Coturnix japonica: one gene and its partners. The protein of the gene in region 1 purifies or fractionates together with the protein of each later gene. This does not show direct contact. Links are inferred from orthologs where the notes say so. Each region holds a gene or a part of one and is shown in the gene's direction. Other genes may lie near its edges.

Evidence for each region.
Region 2: the proteins of CTTNBP2NL (region 1) and STK26 purify together in Homo sapiens (affinity purification with mass spectrometry; 4 studies listed by BioGRID and IntAct, with this or other methods). This does not show direct contact. The link is inferred for Coturnix japonica from reciprocal best matches to the Homo sapiens genes CTTNBP2NL and STK26.
Region 3: the proteins of CTTNBP2NL (region 1) and STRN purify together in Homo sapiens (affinity purification with mass spectrometry; 5 studies listed by BioGRID and IntAct, with this or other methods). This does not show direct contact. The link is inferred for Coturnix japonica from reciprocal best matches to the Homo sapiens genes CTTNBP2NL and STRN.

The regions. Positions count from the first base shown.
Region 1 is NC_029541.1:3,554,690-3,558,341, forward strand, and holds part of CTTNBP2NL (CTTNBP2 N-terminal-like protein), read left to right. Parts: intron 1-403; coding exon 404-634; intron 635-2,409; coding exon 2,410-2,517; intron 2,518-3,254; coding exon 3,255-3,652. UniProt on the Homo sapiens protein: Regulates lamellipodial actin dynamics in a CTTN-dependent manner. Associates with core striatin-interacting phosphatase and kinase (STRIPAK) complex to form CTTNBP2NL-STRIPAK complexes.
Region 2 is NC_029519.1:3,361,062-3,364,713, forward strand, and holds part of STK26 (serine/threonine-protein kinase 26), read left to right. Parts: intron 1-422; coding exon 423-531; intron 532-625; coding exon 626-783; intron 784-2,263; coding exon 2,264-2,449; intron 2,450-3,085; coding exon 3,086-3,234; intron 3,235-3,652. UniProt on the Homo sapiens protein: Serine/threonine-protein kinase that acts as a mediator of cell growth. Modulates apoptosis. In association with STK24 negatively regulates Golgi reorientation in polarized cell migration upon RHO activation.
Region 3 is NC_029518.1:28,891,534-28,895,185, forward strand, and holds part of STRN (striatin), read left to right. Parts: coding exon 1-26; intron 27-2,774; coding exon 2,775-2,915; intron 2,916-3,652. UniProt on the Homo sapiens protein: Calmodulin-binding scaffolding protein which is the center of the striatin-interacting phosphatase and kinase (STRIPAK) complexes.

The DNA.
Region 1 (3,652 bases):
TTCCAGCTGCAGTGTTTGGAGCAGCTCTCGCTGTTGTACGCTTGAGGGAAGCATTTTATTTCTCAGTGCTGTTTATTGAGATGTCAGAAAGCACCTTTCCCAATGAAAAGAGAGCAGAGAAGGCAGTATTTGTCAGTCAGAATGGAGCTCTCCTACCTAAAATTTGTCCTTAAGCAATCCTGTAAGAAATGGTTGATGCTTGGTAATGGTTTGCCCATCATGTTCCTGCTGAGGAAGTGAGCAGTGATGCTGATGTTGTTCTAAGTGCCCTCATCAGCAATATCATGATATCACAGAATGACCTGGGAAGGGGGGATGTGAACTCTCAACAATTTCCTTTTATTTTGTTTAGCAGGGTTTGTGCTTTAAGTATATTGACGTGCAAATTTGTTTTGATACACAGGCCCAGCACAGGGACACCTTCATTGAAGAACGCTATGGAAAGTACAACATCAGTGATCCATTAATGGCTTTGCAGAGAGATTTTGAGGCCCTGAAAGAGGCGAATCATGGCGAAAAGCAGCCAGTGTGCTCCAACCCCTTATCCATCCTGAAGGTGGTGATGAAACACTGCAAGAATATGCAGGAAAGAATGTTATCCCAACTAGCTGCTGCAGAAAGCAGGCACAGAAAGGTACGTTTTGCTTCTAATAAGCTACACAGAGGTGGATAGCTGCCTTTTGAAGTTATGTTGGTTTCGATAACAACACTGAAATGCTTGGATTTTGGTGACTGAAAGGGCTGTGCACCTTCATGTGAGCTACTTGTCACTCTATGATGCAACTGGGAGGCTCAGCAACTGTAGTGATAACATTGAGGTTTCTATTAGAGGACATGCAGAAGGAATTACCTTGCCCAGAACCAAGAGATGTAGTTGCAAATGTAAGAGAATAGCTGGGTGGTTGAATTCTGAGCAGACATATCACTGTTCCCTATGATCATCAAGGATCTGGTACCACCTACTTATGGGAGAGTGCCTCCTATAAGATGAGCTTTCCTAACACAGTGTGACGTGGCCAAAGCTGCTTTTCATGCTGTTTGGTCTCTTTAATAACTCACTTGTACATGAATGTACCTTGAATGAGTTGTCATCAGTGATGTTCAATCAGGCTTCTTCCCATAGGCTTGCCCATCTAGCACACCTTAGTTTGTTAGAGGAGGATAAAGCCACAGTGTATAGAACTCAAAGACCCACTACAAAGTACTTTCTTCTTTTATCTACTTAGCTCTTAAAAAACAAACACACAAATCCCTCTGTTTACATGGTGTTATCTCCAGCACCTGCACTGCAGTGCTGTGTCTCAGCCTCTTCACATAGAATGGCCTGGGTTGCAAAGGACCTCAATGCTCATCCAGTTCCAACCCCCTGCTATGTGCAGGGTCACCAACCAGCAGCCCAGGCTGCCCAGAGCCACATCCAGCCTGGCCTTGAATGCCTGCAGGGATGGGGCATCCACAGCCTCCTTGGGCAACCTGTTCCATTGGGTTACATACTGAGAAGCAGCTGGGATTTTGCTTTTACTCGCATCAGAGTAAGCTTTTACAGTGCCAAATTTAAGTCTTATTTTTAGCTACTGTTTTGATGGGGATATGGCAGAGCAAGGTTCTTTCAGTCTGTGAGGAGCGTGAAGCATTTCTGATGCAGAAATCACTCACAGTGATATGAGCTGCCAGCTGGGCTTCCCATCAGTGTGCTGAGTGCTGGCAGCTGGAGCTTTCAACTGCCCATTGGTGTGCTGGGAGTCATGGGAAGCATGATGTGTGTCACCTTTCAGACAAGAATCTAGCTAAATATTCACAGGAAAATCAGATTTCACCCCCCCCCCCCCCTCTTTTCCTCTAATAAAAAGGTTCCCTGTGTACTTGAAAGATATACAAGCATTGTTTGGAAGCCTAAATTGCAGGAAGACTGAGAAGCTGCTGTAAATTCCTGGTCGCTGTTTTTTGGAAGGCCTGGAGGTCTGCAGGGTGATGCAAACTCACCCAAGAGACTCCACCATATTTGGCTTTCTTTTTGTTGAGCTAATAGAATTTCAGTTGTTCTAGATCAGCATAGAAACTGAAGGAGCTCCTTAACCGGGTCCTTATGGCAAGCGGTTTCATTTCAAGAGCTCATCTCATTCTTAAGTGGAAGAAGAAATGAATGTTCTTTAAAATAAACTTTGCTCCGCAGCCCTCAAATGGAGCAATCTGTCTGCAAATTGCAGCCTGTTGTGCCACGTGCTCTGCTCCTGTTGGCTTTGTTAGAGGTGCAGACAGGAGGTGACAGGTAAGGTGCAGCCAGTAGTGACAGATAACACAGTGGTGGCTCTTTTGTATAAGCTAACTGCAGTGTGGGTGCAGGTCTCTGTGTTTTGTTCAGCATGTGAGCACAGCAGGGCACTGTGGTGACCAGTGTTTGCTTGGCAGGTGATCCTGGACCTGGAGGAGGAGAGGCAGCGACATGCCCAGGACACAGCAGAGGGGGATGATGTCACCTACATGCTGGAGAAGGAACGGGAACGACTCACCCAGCAGGTACAGCTCACTGCCCAGCCCGTGGTTCCATGCAGCTTCAGTTGGTTTGCTGAGGCCAGATCACACCTCAGTGTCAAAAGAATATCATGAGCCTCACACCTTTGTGAGTCCCTCTGAGTTATTATCATTTCAATAGGAAAAACAGATGTAGTTTTCTGGTAAGCTGTTCATAAATGAGTGCTTTGTAATCTTACTTCAGACCAAAATCTGTGCAGTTCTGAAGAGCCCAGAGCCCTGCTCACAAGTGATGATGCTTTCTAGTACTTAAAAATGAGAATAAATCATGAAAGGTCTCCTAAGGGGGTTGTTGAGAGATTATAATAAATATTTAAGCTGCTATTTTCTGTTACTGAAGCACTGTGGGCTTTAATAAACATAAATAACACATCAGCATTTTAAAGGCTAAATGCTTCTAAAAGGCAAACTGACAAAGCAGTAGATGGGGTGGAAGGAAGATTTGCTTCAGATCAGTGCGTGCCAGCTGCGTGTAGCTTAATGCCAACTGAATTTCATGTGCTAGTAAGTAATAATCCATAATGTACATGAACAGAGCTCCTTATTGTACAAGGCTGTCCCACAGACACCAGGGGAAGGGCTTCTTTATTCACCTTAGGCATAGCCATCTTTTTCTGGGCAGTATTTCCAACGTGTGTTGTAAACCCTTTTGCTTTTGGGTTGTTATGCTTTGTGGAGGCGTTGTGCTTCCCATACAGCCTTTCTTTGCTCCTCTCTTCCAGCTGGAGTTTGAAAGATCCCAGGTTAAGAAGTTTGAGAAAGAACAGAAGAAACTCTCGAGTCAATTGGAGGAGGAGAGGGCACGCCACAAGCAGCTGTCCTCCATGCTTGTTGTAGAGTGCAAGAAAGCCACTGCCAAAGCAGCAGAAGAGAGTCAGAAGACGGCAGAACTGAGCTTGAAACTGGAAAAAGAGAAGAGCAAGGTGAGTAAGCTGGAGGAGGAGCTGGCATCCAAGAGGAAGCGGGGCTTACAGATGGAAGCACAAGTAGAAAAGCAGCTTTCGGAGTTTGACATCGAAAGAGAGCAGCTGAAAGCCAAGCTGAACAGGGAAGAGAACCGTACAAAAGCACTGAAAGAAGAAGTGGAATCGTTGAAGAAAGCCCTGAAAGAGCTGGAGGC
Region 2 (3,652 bases), on another chromosome or scaffold:
TTAATGCAAAAGCAAGCAGAGAATCAAAAATATTGCAACAACTTTAAAAAAAAGTCTTATTGAAATAGTTTCTTAAAGCACTCATTTTAAATGCAGTATTGGGTCTGCTGGGTTTGATAAGAGCATAAAACTTATTGGGAATTTCTAGCTTTTCTTATGTGCTGCATGCTGAGGGGAGCGTGTACTGTATAGCAAAGTAATGGAATTTGTAATGTATTATCCGTAGAGGAGGTGTGAAGATGGTTATTCTAATGACATCTTTTTCCTGATAGGATATTAAGCTACTTAATTGAATCTTCACATTATGGATTCTGTAATATCTTTAAATTTAAACTCTTTCAAGTTTAAGATTTATTTAAATCAATAATAAGGCCAGAAATTAGATATGACTAGAATTATTTTCCTGTGTGTTTTCTCTAAAGCTTCGTGCTGGCCCTTTCGATGAGTTCCAGATAGCTACTATGCTAAAGGAAATCCTGAAAGGTCTTGACTACCTGCACTCAGAGAAGAAGATTCACAGGGATATAAAAGGTTCACTTCAAATGCATCTCTTTTTTTTTTTTTTAAAGTCCTTAAAAGTAAGAACAGCATTCTGACTTAACGTTGTGTTATTGCCCCTTGGCAGCTGCCAACGTCTTGTTATCAGAGCAAGGTGACGTTAAGCTTGCTGATTTTGGAGTTGCTGGGCAGTTGACAGACACACAAATTAAGAGGAATACCTTTGTTGGAACTCCGTTTTGGATGGCCCCTGAAGTTATTCAGCAGTCAGCATACGATTCCAAAGTAAGTATGAATGTAGAGGATCTCTCTATCTGCTGATCTAACATAAATGGCTTTGTTTTTTGTCTTTCTAATTCTATAAAAAAAATAAAATTGATTTTAAATTACAAAAATCTACTGCTTATAACTATAGTAGAAAACACCACCCCTGTTCCCTTGCTTTGTTTTTTCTGAGAGTTTAGAGCTGCTGATTAAAAAGTGATGATAAGGAGGGAGTAGTCCCTTTTCTCTTGTGTGTATGCCCACCGGGTACTATAGAGCATAGGGTGAGTGAAATGACAGTGTATTTTAGTGCTGGCATTAGATTTTCCACACTTTACATGCATCCAGAAAGCTAAACTTCTTGGCACATACGAAGTACCTTTTGTACTGTTTTTCTTAGATAGTAAGTCTGTAACTATACTTAATAAAAAAAAAACCTGCTCAGTATCTGAGATGTTTTAAAGATCCACAGAGGTCTTTCCCAGAGCCAGATCAGGGATGATAGTAAGGAGTTTGTACATTCAGCTGTAGTTTTCATGTGTAGGGTTTCAGCATTACAACTGGAATTCTCATTCTGTGGCATTTTGGGAAAGCATTCTACCTTGTTTTAAAAGTATGTTCTCCAATCCAAGTTTAAATAATTCATCTCCAGGTTTTCCTGTGTCAGCTGTACCACCCATTCATTTACATTCTGCAGCAACCTTGTCTTCCTTGTCTCTTCAATGTTGTTGCACGAGCTGTACCCTTTCCCCTTTCTTTCTAAGCCTTTGGGTACAACAGATGAAGGTATTAGGACAGAATACACTGATTTCTAGTCTACAGTTGTTAGTTATGCTATTTCAGTAACAAACAATGAGGTAGTTTAAGTCTTCAGTATTTATAGATTTATAGTTATTTTAGTTCTTCTTGTAAAGAGGAAAGGAATATTGTAGAGATGCAACTTGTAACACTTTATTACGTGGGCAGCTTTGGGTTAAAGCTTTGCCAAGTGTAGTTAAATCATTCTTAGGCAGTTTTTAATGAGAAATGCTCAGAGTGATTTTTAATAGCACTCGTAACTCATCTAAAAATAGTGCAAAGAATGTATGTTTCACTTGGGAGAAGTCTTTACACTGAAAGATTTCATAGCTTGTAAGACATTAATAAAATTCATCTTTTAGGTAGAATCAGTATCACTTCATGATTCTTTAGGAACTTGTGCTTCCAACTTGATGTTTCAGGTCTAATTGGAGTTGCTGGTCATTTCCTAGCTTTCTTCCCTAACAACCTTATGAATTTAGCAACAACATGATGCTGTATTCATTAGTCAAAGTTATTAAAGACTGATTAAATCACTTATGTGCCTTCAGGAGTAATAGCCTTGGGGTATAAAAACAGTCCTTGTGTGTTTATCTACTGGTACTAAAACTGATTCTATTATATTGATGCAGATTTCGGTTACTAAATACAGTGTTGTGATGGCATTCAGCTTTGTACTGAAAGTATTTTTTCTGTTTCTCAGGCTGACATCTGGTCATTGGGAATCACTGCTATTGAATTAGCCAAGGGGGAGCCACCCAACTCCGATATGCATCCAATGAGAGTTCTGTTTCTCATTCCAAAAAACAATCCTCCAACTTTATTAGGAGAATTCAGTAAACCTTTTAAAGAATTCATCGATGCGTGTCTGAATAAGGATCCAACGTTTGTGAGTAGATAAGTGTGTGTGTATGTTTGTAATGTGTGTAGAGATGCTCACGTCTCTATTTTTAATGCATGCTTGTGAAGTCTTTTGCTGATGTAGTGCATCAGAGTTGACTAAAATAATTTTAGAGGCTAATTTTGACTGCAAATAGCAACAGTGCTTTTTAGTAGTTCTCTCCACCCAAGCCTCTTTTGTTTAAAGTAATGGAAGGAGGAGGAATAACAAAGGAAGTGATGGCAGAGGCAGCTCCCAGAAATGGATGCAAAGCTAGGATAATGTCAGAAGAGAAACCTCACAGAGGAATCCTCGATCTCTTCCCTGGTAGAACTTTTGTTTTCTGTCTGAATGCTGCTTACAAGGAAATGCATTGGAGAAACTTGATTAGTCATTTTCCTGGGTGTGTACTTTCTAGCATAGGAGAGTAAGCAATATAGTCTGTGTGACTTGATCATATTTTTAGAGTGCTTGTAAATGTGGATTACTGGCTTTTTTTGACTTCCTGTTTCTACTAATTTCCTGATGCTGTATAAGTTAGGACCGAGAGTCTGTTGTTGTGCCGCATCTTCCCCACTAACATTTATAGTCACAAAATGCTAGCGTAACATTAAATATTCCAGTGGTTTGGGTTTTTTTCCACAGCGCCCTACAGCAAAAGAACTCCTGAAGCACAAATTCATTATGAAAAATGCCAAGAAGACTTCATACCTGACAGAACTAATTGATAGGTTCAAGAGATGGAAAGCAGAGGGACATAGTAGTGACGAAAGCGATTCCGATGGTTCTGATTCGTAAGTTAATTTTCACAATTTAATCTCTCCATCTAGCTTTGTTCTCTGTGTTTTGCATTGGCTTCTTTAAAGAAAACTGTTTGAAGCTAAAGGTTAATGCTTAAGTCAGGCTATGTGCTGGTTCTCTAAACTTTTTTTAACCTCTGAACTCATTTTCAGTTCTGCTTAAGTGCTGTGTGTTTCCTACTCTGAGGCTAGCGGTTATACAAAAAGTAGTGAATCACAACTGGAAATACTGTTCGCACAGTTTGGGTAGCATAACATTTCTTCTGCAAGTCTTTGGTTTTTCTGGATATCAGATAACTGTTTTCAGTGAGATGCCTGCCATTGGAGATGGAAGGTCCTATAGGTAGAGGCAGCATCTTCTGTTTGCTTTGGTAATAATTCAGCTTGGTCTCTGAGGTATTGTTTACTAAGA
Region 3 (3,652 bases), on another chromosome or scaffold:
TCTCAGTGTATTTAATGATAATCAAGGTATGGAATTTTAAGTTCATTAGCTTAACTGTTCAGACTACCATAATCTTGACTACTGAGTAGAAATCCTTTCTTGTTTGTTTACTGGATTTTATACTGTTATGATTGTTTAGAAGAGCAGTAGATTTTGGATTTTGACACCAGCCATTATTGATAAATACACACAGGCGGACAGTCACACATACCTAAAAACTATGTGTTGTAGGTTACTTGCTGATATTGCTGGATCCAGAGTATAATGTAGCTGTTCCATAGTTCAAATTCAAAGTGAGTTTCCATTAGGCCCTTGCAACTGGTTTGTCAAGAATAAAAAACCCTTTCTTACCCCCAGAGAGGTTTGAAATAGCCAGTGCTTAGGTCCAGCTCAGCATCCTAGCACCTTTCCAGTTGAGGTTCCTAGTGCTTCTGACAGAGATTGCTACTTTCAATGAATTCATGAATTTTTGAATGAACTAAAAAGCAATAATCTAGTCATCCTAAATGCTGTTAGTTGAAAAAATTTAGTCATTAGGGTTTAATTACTGAAATGTAATGCGCGTTCCAAAATCCTGTTATTTAGAGCCTCGCTTCTCGAAGTTGCTGTTTGAGTAATTGCTCTAGGGTAGCTACTGACATTGTCATCTTAAGAACTATCAACTTAGAGCTGATAGTTCTAAAAGCAACCCATGAACCAAGGCTCTTTCTTGGTTCTTCAGAACAACTTCAAGATAAAATGAATGTTAATGTAATGAATTGATTTTCTGAATTGTGATATAAAGTTGATCAGATGTTCCATTACTTGTTTGTTAAATAGCTGAAGCAAAATATAAACGTTTCATGTAGTTTCATTTTGGCAGAGCTGTGTTTCCAAAGGTCAGCAGGGTTCTATCAGAGTCATGGTTAATCTGTGGTTGACTTTACTGTGGTATCCATAGATACTTTACAACATTCCTGAGTACACAACTAGTGTGTACAAGTGAGGTGTTTTTCCCGTGAGTCTTTAGAGTGGTGATAGTATTCTTGCTTTGTCTGGATCCATGGACATTAGATTACTTAATATTCAGTATCACACTCAACCTGGATTTTTAGATAGCATCCCACACAACATTCTTGTCTCTAAATTGGAGACACATGGACTTGATAACTGGATCACTCAATGGATAAGGAATTGGCTGGATTGTTCTAGTCAACAGTGTGATGTCTAAGTGGAGACTGGTGATGAGTGGTGTTCTTCAGAGGTAAGCACTGGGACCAGTGCTAATAGACATCTTTGTCTGTGATGTGGACAGTTGGATTGAGTGCATCTTCGCCAGGATTGCTGATGACAGCAAGCTGTGTAGTGCGGTTGATATGCAGGAGGTAAGGAAGGGATACTATCTGGAAAGACCTGGACAGACTTGAAAGGAAGGACAGTATGAACCTCATAAAGTTCAACAGGGGCAAATGCAAGGTGCTGTACCTTGCAACACAGAAGTATACAGAAGAACTGTATCCTGGGCTGCATCAAAAGAGGACCAGCAGGATGTGGGAGGTGACTGTCCCTTTCCACTCTGCTCTTGTGAGATTCCATTCACAGTACTGCATTCAGCACTTTGGCCCCCAGCACTGAGAAGGGCATGGATCTGTTGGATCATCTACAAGAATGATCAGAGGGCTGTGGAGCAGCTTTCCTATAAAGGCAGGCTGAAATGGTCAGAGTTATTCAGCCTGAAAAAGGGAGGGCTTTGGAGGGAGACCTTATAGCAGCCTTCCTTTTCCTAAAGGGGGCCTACAGGAAAGCTGGAGAGAGGATCTATTTACCAGGGAGTGTAGAGATGGGACAAGGGTATAGATACATGTTAGGTGTAAGGAAGAAATGATTGTGATAGTGGTGAGGCTCTGAAACAGGATGACTGGAGAAGCTATGGATGTCTCATCAAGGCCAGGTTGGCTGGGTCCCTGGGCAACTTGATCTATTAGATGATGTCCCTGCCCCTAGGAGTGGGGCTGGGACTGGATTGTATTTATGGTCCCTTTCAACCCAAACCATTCTATGATTTTACCTCTTCCTCCTCCTGCTCCTGACATCTGTTGGAGAAGGTGTTGTTCTTTCATCTAGTTGGCAGGGAAAAGTACATTTGAGGACAGAAATTTTATGGGATGTTTCTCGTACTCAAACTCTGCTGATCTGGCTTTCTGTCCTGTAGAGTTGTAATAGCCAGTGTGTAAAGTCATCTGATATATAATAGGCAGGACAGAAAAAGTTATGTAATGTGAGGTTTTTAATGTACTTACGTAACTTTCCATGCTGATAGTTTCAGCATGTAAAATTTACATTTGGAAAGCTTTGGGGTTTTTTTTAAGCTCTGAAGTTGTCCAGTTTAGTAGCAACTTAAAATCATCTGTCATGTAAATGATTTTGCCGTTTTGATATTATGTCCCCGCACTGAAGGTTTGGCTGAATTTTTTTCTTGCACTTAAAGAAAGAAGAGGGGCAGGGCAGGTGGAGCTTGTGAGGTTCTTACTTTCCAACATGATTCAAATTAGATTTCAGTCCAGCCTCAGTTCCAGATAGAACATCTCAATAAAGAATGTTGAAATGCATATCAGAAAAATAGGTTTAAAGTGGTGATCACTCAAGACCATCAATTTGGATTGTCATAATGTAGATTTTAAAATGTAACATTTCATGATCATGACTCTTTAAATATCAGAGTACATGGTGTTCTTTTCCTATTTTTTTTTACACAGTCTGCTGCTTATGAAAATGTTCTCTGCATTGTTTTCTAGAAATGGGAATCCCCTCCTCAGTTGATCTTGTGAGCAGTGACCCAAGCCTCATGGTAGCATCCTTTAACACTGGACACACTAGCATTTTTAACATGGAGACACGGCAACGAATTCTTACCCTGGAGTCTGGAGTAGATAATAGTATGTATTCAATACAGAAAAAAATTGCTTGATGGAGATCAAATACTGTTAATAGTCTTTTCAGTGTTTCCAAGCAATTAGGCAAACGGTGTATCCTAGTAACTTGCATCATGTATTATGTTAAACATTATGTTTTAAGATGTAGGAGTAAATTGTTATTATTATAATAGAGCAAGAAGCTCTTTAGTAGAAGAGCAAACATAGCTTTGAAAGAAGGTAGAAGAGCTGCAGATACTGTAATTTATTCCTTAAGGAACAGTGGTAGAAGGACAAGAACAAAATTTCCAAAGTTTTTTTTAATCAGGATTTTCCATTTTCTCTTTAGTCCAGAATTGCAAATTAGAGATAATATCAGACAAATCTCAAGTGTAAGTTGTGACAAATTTGTGAAAGTATAGGGCAAGTTCTACCTTTTTCATTAGCAGTACTGGCTCATTTTCTGTTAGGCTTTGTTTGAAGTCTTCACTGAAGAAAATGAGCAGAGCTCACAAGCTCCTTCATAATGCTTTGGATCATGGCAGTGTTCCCCATCATTAAGAGAGGGGCCAAAATGAGCTAAAGCATGAGACTTCATGTGTGAGTCAAAATGGAAACCTGAAATCTATAGAAATGTTCAGTCTTTTTTAAAACTTTGATAGTTTTTTTTTCAGCTAAAACTTTTATGTTAGTGAATGCTATTGTCTGATTATGCTTTTAAAGGGGAGCAAGCCCTTCTTGTCAGTTTTGCTCACCTCTTT